Arabidopsis thaliana: one gene and its partners. The protein of the gene in region 1 interacts with the protein of each later gene in a pairwise test. Each region holds a gene or a part of one and is shown in the gene's direction. Other genes may lie near its edges. The genes, in order: AT4G03600, AT1G16170 and AT1G34640.

The links.
Region 2: the proteins of AT4G03600 (region 1) and AT1G16170 interact in a protein complementation assay, tested with the Arabidopsis thaliana proteins (one large-scale study listed by BioGRID).
Region 3: the proteins of AT4G03600 (region 1) and AT1G34640 interact in a protein complementation assay, tested with the Arabidopsis thaliana proteins (one large-scale study listed by BioGRID).

What each region holds. Positions count from the first base shown.
Region 1 is NC_003075.7:1,603,087-1,606,303, reverse strand, and holds AT4G03600 (pyrroline-5-carboxylate reductase), read left to right. Parts: upstream 1-1,675; 5' UTR 1,676-1,995; coding exon 1,996-2,484; 3' UTR 2,485-2,666; downstream 2,667-3,217. Other genes in the region: AT4G03610 (Metallo-hydrolase/oxidoreductase superfamily protein), read right to left, coding at 6-111, 200-341, 439-569, 673-814, 1,099-1,265.
Region 2 is NC_003070.9:5,538,338-5,542,101, reverse strand, and holds AT1G16170 (ephrin-A3 protein), read left to right. Parts: upstream 1-2,099; 5' UTR 2,100-2,535; intron 2,536-2,928; 5' UTR 2,929-2,949; coding exon 2,950-3,228; 3' UTR 3,229-3,436; downstream 3,437-3,764. Other genes in the region: AT1G16180 (Serinc-domain containing serine and sphingolipid biosynthesis protein), read right to left, coding at 1-154, 253-427, 507-618, 700-939, 1,014-1,197.
Region 3 is NC_003070.9:12,686,898-12,690,060, reverse strand, and holds AT1G34640 (peptidase), read left to right. Parts: upstream 1-1,517; 5' UTR 1,518-1,633; coding exon 1,634-1,875; intron 1,876-2,264; coding exon 2,265-2,355; 3' UTR 2,356-2,509; downstream 2,510-3,163. Other genes in the region: AT1G34630 (uncharacterized protein), read right to left, coding at 2,626-2,922, 2,993-3,059, 3,153-3,163.

The sequences.
Region 1 (3,217 bases):
CTTACCATACTCGGTACTCGGTGGAATCCGTGATACGTCTGATATATAAGCCACTTTACTTTTATCGCCGAAGAGGAAACCTAAAGCAATGTAGTCCTCTCCATGCATCACCTAAAGCATAACTAACATTGTTGAGTCTATAAGGTCTCATGGAAGAATTAGACTGTTTTGATTTCTCAAAAGTGAAAAGAAATTTAACCGGAAGAGGCGTGAAAGATAAGCCCGAGGCAGCGAATGGTTCGTCACAATTCTCTTCGATGTTTTTCCAGTCAAGAAGTGAAACTCGTCTAGGTACTTCTTTTACCTTCTTTTCAACCAAATAAGGAAACCTTGTAGCAATACTGCACAATTTTTTGTTGCCTTAAAAGTCTCATCAAATGCTAATTTGAAAAGCTTTAAGCCAGAGTTGAGATAGAGAACACTAATCGAAGATGGTACCTCTCCATTGTAAATTGAGATAGAAAGACGGGAAGTGGATCGGTATCAACAATAGTTGCACCACGAGGTTGAAGAGATCGAATTTCATCTAAGCCATGAACCGCATCTGCGTGCTCATGAGTTAGAATGATCTACACAAAATCATACAAGCATTAGTCAGTAAAAGTTAGATTTCATTTCAGAGAAAAAAATAGATGCAAGAGATCAAGAAGATAAGTATATAAAGGGCTTAACGGAATCGACTCGAGGAATCTTATAAAAGGTAAACCAACGAAGGACTTGCTCTCTAAAACTCTTGCCAACATCAATAAGTATGTACTTATGTCTACCATCTTCTTCCTTGCTGCAATAATCAATCAAGAGCGATGTATTGCATCTGCCAAAAAACAGAGAATCAAGATTCAAGAATGTTCACCAAACCCTAATATATCTGAAATAATTTCCCAAGAACACTAGAAATCGGATGGTTCATTTTTACCTAAAATGGATTAAAACCTAAACTCCAACACGAATATAGACAACAGTAGATGTCTCTTTTTTCAATCAAAACTCCCAACTTCAAAAGGGTCTTTACGGAAAGCAACAAGATTTGACATTTCACAAATCTCCACAGCTTCAAAGACCAAAACCCAAAGAGAAGAAACTGATGACAAGATTTACCTGTAGTTAGGGTTAAGGTGAGGAAGTAAAGAGAGGGACTGAGAACAGACATGGCAAGGAGGATCTGACGGCTGGAGTAAGCATCTGAAATCGGGAACTGCACCGGAGCAGCCTGTTCCAAGAAAGATCAGAGCCGTTCCATCATCATCAGATTGATTCTTCTCCATCTTCTCAAGATTCTGATCTTCTGGTTGGTCTAGCCAAAGCTGATTAATGCCAACGGCTATATCTTTGTTTATTGTATTAGTTGAGATTATATGCGATCCCTTACACAAACTTGTCTTTTTCACAGTATATATATTCCTTTTATTAACATAAAATATCTAAGCCATTACTTTGAGTCTTTGACACTGATATATGTAGTCATAATGATATTGACTACTAATTTTTCCAAACAAAATAGTAAAAGATTAATGACTTACCCCACAAATCCACCGGATTGTGATTTTTTTTGTTATATATCATTGTTTGACTCCTCTAAATTAGAAAAAAATCTTCTACATTTCTTTTTCTGTATAACAAAATCTTAAATTTAAATCGTTATGGTAACGAAATCTTTTCTTTTGTTTTTCCAGTTTATTGATTAAATATACTTCCACAGAATTTAAATTTACTTAATTATTAAAAACAATGCAGTCACAATCTTTCCAATTACCATTTCATTATCTCACAAATTCGACCAAATGTTTTTCATATTTCACAAAAAAAAATATATTAAAGCGCGTGTGAACCATAACCACGCGATTGCCAGCTCAAAAACAAATTCACAAAGAAGCGTACACGACACGCGCTACGACTGAGTGTAAGGATTCTCATAAACTGCTCTATTTTATTTTGCTCAGTCGCAGACAAATCTCAAAACAGATTCGATCGATAAGCAAGAACTTCCAATCTCTAATGGCAGATCAAACAGAATCTCCAAGATCGTATCATATCTTCATCACAATCATGAGTAAAAGACGGACATGGGTTTGTCTCTTCATCGCTGTCTACGCAATTCTCGTATCTTCTTCATGGAACCTCCTGAGATCAGTTCTTAACTGGTACAAGCTTCAATACACGTCATCAAATTCAGATTATTCTCCTTCAAGATTACCGGCGGTATACGCGTCGGTGGTGCTCGGTGCGATGTTTGGAGCTATGTCGATGGTGGCTGCTATGACGGTGGCGGTTCCGGCGGTGATGGTGATTTGGATATCGGTGGTGGTGTTGCTTGCCTTCTTTGGGAAATCAAGAAGAGTTTTAGTGGTTGAAGGAAGGAAGATTACGAGAGAAGTTGTCGGATTTGTGTTTAAGGTTCTTTTGAAAGAAGGCAATGTTGTTGCTGCTTTTTGTGCTGTTTTAGCTTATTTTCTGCTTATTAGAAGAGATTTTGACTCATATTAAGGTTCTTGATTTTTAGATTATTTAGGGAATTTTGATCTAGATTATCTTGAGTCACTCCCGAATGTAAATGTAAAGTTAATTTAGAAAATCAATTGTTAGTAGTAGAATGAAGAAGTTCATGATGCATTGGCTCAATTTTTTTTGTTTGTGGTTAGATAATTTTTCTTGATGACAGCATTTAGTATCTAGAATGGATCGTCCCACAACTTCTCATTTGAGATATTGAAAATCATGATTTGTTATCCGTTTGTGGGTTCATTGCCACACAATTTCAACACATGGACCAATAACCAAGTGATTTACATATCCTATTAAGTTTGTTATCAGTTTTCACTATTTAAGTTACCCGGTTATTATTTTAGTAGCTTAAAACTACATCAACTAGTTGAAGAGGCATGTTTTGCGAAGATAAGATCATATAATAATGGGTTACACAACTTCTTTCTTACTCAAATTCCTTCTTGAGGAAGGTGTAACATTCCAACATTGAAGTAGTGGATTTCACACACTGATACTTATTTTTATAAGTACCTTTCTTGATAAAAAGAATTCTAATACCTCAACTAAAAACTCTAATTTGGGGAAAAAAATTAATGTCTGCAAACCTTTTATAACAAAAAATTCTAAGAACTCTAAAATCATGAAAATGCGTGAATCTTTTTGTCTTTGGAACATATATTGTTGAACTTTTTTTTTTAACTGAGCAAAAAAAAGAATTTTTTTTTGAAAGACC
Region 2 (3,764 bases), on another chromosome or scaffold:
GTAAGCCAATGGTCATTGTGCCTGTTGAAACAGCTTTAGAGTGATTGTGGAGACCATTGCACTCGTAATCCCGGGGTTCACTTGCAAGTCCACTGTAACAGAGGTACATGCAGTACAGAGATATAACCGATGCTGGTAAAATGCTTCCACCGACCTGCAAAAGAATAGGTTAATTTGACTTCAGTGAGCCTGAAATTGGGAATCAAATAAGATCTCAGATAAGAGAAATATAAGGTTTCAGTCAAAACTTACAGTAGGATGCAAAACTACAATGGCAAAGACGAATACAAATATCAAAGTCATGATAATGAAGAAGGTGTTGAGTCCACAATCATGTCCAGATGGAGTAAACCAGTGGAAGAGAAACCCAGAGAAGACGAATGTTGCCAAGTAACATACAAGAGAAACAACGAGCAAAGCAGCATACCTATATATAAAAGTCAAGTACTTAGATTAGTAGTGGGATAATGAAGTCACATGATTTAATTGCAAATATATTTACTAACCAGAACTGCTCGTCGTAGCCAACCCATGTGTCATTCCATCCATGAACAAAATCCAAAAGAAGTACAACTTGAACAAGCAGGAAAAATCCAGCACCAAACTTTGACATCGACTCTGCAAGATGTAAAATTGATTCCCATTAGTTCCAAGTTAATCGATTCACTAATCACTTTGCAATGATAAACAGAAACTTACCATAGAAACTGATGATTTCATTTGGAAGGAAGAACATAAAGATGACTAAAATGCACCAACAGATTATTTTCATCATCCAACCACCATGGTGTATACCATCACGAGGGTCTTTCTGATTTTTCACACCGATCATCATAACCGATAGAATAGAGAAAAACAAGAAATTCCCTAAGCTGACACGCAACACAGCATCAGTCTCAAACCATTCACGATCAGGTGTCTTGTGAAAATGGTTAATCCCTGCACACAATGTCAATGATTAGTTGCATACACCAAAATAATCTCACGAGAAGTATAATAACAAAAAAACTTACAAGGGAGCTTCTCCATGAGAGGAGCAGCAACTTCACGGAGAATCCATGAAACGATTAAGGAAAGTGCAAAGAGACCACAGTAAGCAATTCTAGCAGAACGTCTGCTGATCCCAGAAACCACAGTACGGCAAGCATCGCAGGCACAAGCAGCACAACACGATGCGAGACAAGAAGCTGCAAACATCTTCTTTCTCCTCTCAGATTAAAGGTTGGATTCAATATTCAGCTGCTAGTATCAACCAAAACGCAAACACAAATCATCAAAACACAAATCATCAAACAAACAAAAAAAACTAATTTCGGATGGAGACGGTAAGAAAAGCAGCTTTTTAAAGACCGAATCGAAAATTAATCAATTTTGCTCAGAGATAAACAGAATTATTTGGAATCAATTGAAATTGGTTAAAATAAGCTGAAATTTATCCCCAAATTCGAGATGAAATCATAGCTCCCGATCTAAAGCTTCACCCGAGAAACCTAGCTTTAGGGATTGAATTTGACCTCTGGAACAAAAGAAGGAAAACGAAAATCGCTTGAGAAAGAGAGAATCAAAATACCTTGCGATCGATCAAAAACCTTGAGCTATCCTCTCCTTGAAAAGTAAAACAACTCGTTGTTTCTTTATTATCTCGCTCCTGATTTCGGACTTTTGACCAACTTACAAAGGAACTAGTAAACCATCAATACCAAGTTTTCATGTTTGGCCCACTAATGGCCCAAATTATTTTAATTTCTCCTTCTGTTTATCATGCATGGGCTTTTGATTAAGATAGACCTCTACTAAAACCTTGCAAGTCTCCTTACAAAGAAAAAGAAAAAAGTTATAAAAAAAAAACTCTAGGCTATTGGGGGTAAATAGTTTTGGTTTGGATGCTAAATGCTAACCGGCTAAAGTGATTCACGGCAACGGCAACTCAGTCTATTAGGATTTCAGTGCAACTAAAACAATGTATTTTAGACTTTTAGTTTAGTTGGAAGCAAACCAAAATATTGAACACCTCATACTGTCATACAAATACAATATACAAAAGTACTAAACATTATCGTGATTACTAGAACATGAGTTGTCTTCTCGTTAATGATTAAAAAAGTTTATCTTAATACGTATTCGTAAATGCCCTCTGGAAGCTGCAAGAGTCAGATCATAGTCCTAGGTAAATGTCATCACTCATCATCGGATTCTAACAACATGCCCATCATCTTCAAAACACAAAGGAGTGGAAGCTAACAAACAACGCATCATCATTTTTTTGTCCTCTTTATATATCTTCTTTCCTATTTTTTATCTTTTTATTGTTTTGTATATAAAATCCCTAAATTCCCGTTTTATGTAACGGACATAATAAGCCGCGTACGGCGTATCCGGCAAATCGGCCCAGCTCGAGCCATCATCAATCTACGGAGGAGATCCATCTCTCTCTCTCTCTCCATATCGCAACAACACTGCTGAAGATTTCGGGGGTTGTCGACGGAGCTGGAATCTAGCTTTTTCTTCTCCAGATCTCTAAACCGATTCTCACCGGTTCGTTTTCTAATAATCTTTCACCTACTTCGGATCTGTTTCCCTCGATTATCCAATGTGCATCGATCGCGAGTTGTTGTTGTTGTGTATTGTGATTGATGATTGATTGAGAATGACGTTATTGTTGGCAATTTGTTGCTTTCATTTTCATCTTTCGTATACGATCCAAGCTCTTTTGTAATTATAATTATGACTAATGTCGTTTCCACAACCAATCAAAACAGCGATATGTGTCTCGAATTCTTGTTTCTCATTGACATTTATGATGGTTTATGATGGAAAAGTGATCTCCCAAATGTTACATTCAATCTGATTGTGATGATCTCCTTTTCATAGCATGTTTATGTTTCTTGTAAAATTGTGTTAAAACGACTTGTGTGTCAATTTTTGCAGGTTAATTGGTATTATAAAGCCATGGTTCTTGATGGGCTTGTATCTTCACCGTCAAGGAGACAACAATGTCTAAAGAAGCAGTGGGACGAGTTGGGTAGCTGGTCGACTCTTATTCAGAGGCATCAATATCTCTTAACAGCTTTGGCTCTTTTGGCTTTCCTCTGTACTGTTTATCTTTACTTTGCAGTCACTTTAGGCGCTAGGCACTCGTCCTGCTATGGCTTGACCGGGAAAGACAAGGCAATGTGTCAATTACAACTTGTTCAAGCTCTCTCCAAAGGGAAACTTAAATTCTTCTAGACTGTTTATCTATCGGTGAAAGTTTGAAACCCCCACATTTATTGTTCTTGTACTAAAACATTCTTTTTCTTCTTTATTCTATAATGCAATTTGTGTGTATTATTACATGGTGAAATAAAACCAGAGATTCATAATTGAAAGATAACTTTATTTCATCAGATGAGATGAGAGTATACATGTGCACTGTTTTGAGTCGGATCGTCACCTCCGGTTGTATGTCAAGCCTCTATTAGGCGCTCTTATTAGAGCTCATGCGTTTCTGTATATTTGGGAATTCTTACCAGCGGAATGATGATAGCAGCGGGATATAACTTCTACTACCTACACAGGTCGAGACTCTGAAACTGAAACCATAATGCTTGAAGTCAAACATTTTCTGACACATCGTTGACTCCTAGACAAGTAAGTTTTTCCAGTCATCAAATAATACATTCAAGTCACACCAAAAGTCCACACTTCATTTTCAAAAGTACATGTTAACTTCGAATTTCAAATACACTTTGTGGCTAAAGATGGATGACTTGCTGCCGAGTGAT
Region 3 (3,163 bases), on another chromosome or scaffold:
CTATCAACCTTACATGTAGAAGTGCACTGGTCGAATAACGAGGATGAGATTTGTAGGTCAAAACTGTAATTGATGGTAAATAAACATTGGCGATCATGATGTTATAAGGGGTATCAAAACCAAACTTAATTGAGTGTTTAGCAATGTGGCATCACAGTACCATTGGGGGAATCAGTATTATATTTTACTTTGTTACTGAGAAAATATTCAAATATTGGTTAGTAGATATAGACTAAAATAGTTACCGAGGAATAGATATTATTAAGATGTGACCACACTTTCTCATGAACTTTTGTAGCAAGTTCATAGAAAAACATGTGTAAAAGAAACATGGTGTTGCTATTTAGCCGCATATATATGAGGGCTTAATCTCGTCGCTATTTAACAATAGAAATAGTCGACGTCATTTGTTTCTACCAAGGGACTTAAACTTGTCCTTTGTCAATGCGTAGTTTTGTGGCTTCGGATTTTAAAAAATTGTTTCTGAATTTATATAGATCTAACAACCTTTGTAAGATTAATGCTTTAGATACTAATATACTATCAATGAAAAAGAGTATTTACTTTGTTTTCACATTTATAGGAAAAAATTAGAAATCTTCATTTACAAAACGACATTCGTAGTTTGAGGTTATTACTTTTTGGCGAAAAGAAAAGAAAAGTTTGAGGTTATTACTAACGATGCCAACTATCAAAACAAAATTTATGTTAGTAACCAATTATGTGGGTGTTTGGTTGAGTAGTAACTTTCCTTTTTACTGTTGTTCGGCAGTAGCTATAAACTTTTTGTTGTATGATTACATGTGTTGGTTGTAGATGTAGAGTTTGATTGGTAAAGTTAATTAAATATTGAGGATTCAAAATTTAAGTTTATCAATTTAAAATTATAACATAATATTAAATGAGATAACAAATAAATAATAAATAGTAAATTTCATATGTATAACACATTGTTTGGTCAATTTTATAATTTTTTTTACCTCAAAAATATGATAAGATTTTTTTGTTGTCTTATGTTTAAAGTACAACGTACTCATATAATCTTATGCTTGTGAAAGTTAAAAATAATTTCTGTCCCGCTTGATGATTATGTCATTTTATTCTACAAATTTTTTTTGGCAACCGATATTAATTAGAATTCAAAGAGTTAATCCGAGAGATATTGTTTATATATATGGTATGATGCAATTCGGTATAATTCTTTCATACCAAATTATCCGTTTTTACATTTACACTACAAAAAATTAAAAATAAAGAAAAGTTTGTGAATTCCTTCTTGTCATTCCAAAATTTATCTTTTTTTTCCTAATTTTTCGGTATAATTCTAATTACTCTATGATCAAAACCATAAATAAAGATAAAACTGAACAAACACAAAAACTTGGATCCAAAAATACGGTTGGGACATTACCACATTTATGGCGGCATTCAATTCAATTGATTGCCACGCATTTTTCCAAAAGAATATACCCTATATAAAAAAATCCATTAAATATTATCTTTAACACATAAATGAAATCTTTCTCCTACATCCTACATAATCTGTGAATCTTCTTTCCATGTTTACACTGTTATAAAGCAACTTCAACTAATCCCGTTTTAAATATAAGCTATCTACTCTCTCTTAGCCATAATGGGAAACGAAGCAGCACTAAGATCATCAATGGTAGGTCTTGCAGTGGTGATGGTAGTTGTATGGTTATGGACACAGTCTTTAAAGAAGACGGTTGTTACTTACGCCGTCGGTATTTCTCTTATTGGCGGCATACTTTTGCCGGATTGGGACTTCTTTGATCGGAGTTTCTCTCGGTGGGGCTATCCTGTCACCGCCGAGGAAAGATCAGCCGCTCTCGCCCGCAAATCTCATCCTTCAAGGTTACTTGTTTATCTTATCTCAATATCAAACTAGTTGTTTTATCATATCATTATATATTAATCTTTGAATTATTAGATCTAAATTTTGGTTTAGCTTTATTGCCTTAAAACCTATTGGATAAACATAAATCATACATACAATTTTTTTTTTGTCAACCGATATTAATTTGGATTCAAAAGAGCGAATCTCAAACCATACATACAATGTTAGGTTCCATTTGCAATGTATGTATTATTGTATATCTACGAATTAGGTGTACAAGTTATGATTGAATTTGTTTATTTTCGTGAATATTTTCTATTGATTTTAATTGTTAGATCCAAATTTTGGTTTGGTTTACTGGCCTAATTAATGGATAATGGATACATCTTTGGACCAAGTAATGCAGGTTTAGAGTGTACCCTATGAGGATGGTTTTATACGGCACGGTCTATGGATATGCAGTGTATAGGTGGTGGATGTTCGTATCAAATTATTGAAGCCATATTGTATTTACTTGGTCCATCTTTTTTATGGTTTAGTGTTGTTGATTAACAAAATATTTAGCTTCGTTTTATTTTAACTTTGTAGAACATGTAAGACTACCAGATTACATATTGGTGTGTCCACATAAGATGGACAAAAATTGTCAAATGGATTGTGGTATACAAAATTGACCCAAAACAAAACTCCTAGAGACTCTAAATGAGCATTCTACCACCAAATTCTGTCCCACATCAGAAAGATCTTTAGGTTAAAAGTGAATGTCTCTAGGTTGTTTCGCAAGAAGGAGCAGGAGGGGGAGGAGGAACACCGAAGACCCAATCTAGTACGTTCAAGTATTTTGATCGAAATACGTCTCTTTCTTGTGCGTAACAATGCATTATAATGGCTGTCGAAACGCTGAACACAACCACATCCGCTCTTCTTAAACTCTTGGGCGGTCGAATGTATCCTGCCTCTGTCATGCAAGTAAAGAAGCTCTCTATCGCCCTCGCTAAGCAGTATAGTGATATCTCTATCCTTCTGCTTTTCTTCTCAATAGCTAAAGCCAGACCTGTTGGGAACTGCAGGAGAAGCCTAACGTTAGGTATTATATTAACAATGATATGTGATGAGAATGGCTTTCGTTTGTACTGTTGCTATGGCCACAAGCGGTATGTTGCATGTCTCAAAAGTGCGGAATAGTAGACAAGTCCAAGCCCTATTTTACATCATTATAGAGATGGTCTAAGTTCCAACTTCAAGTGAGAACAAAACAAAAATCGATAAGAGCCTTCCAAGAATTGATTCTAACCAGGCAGAAGA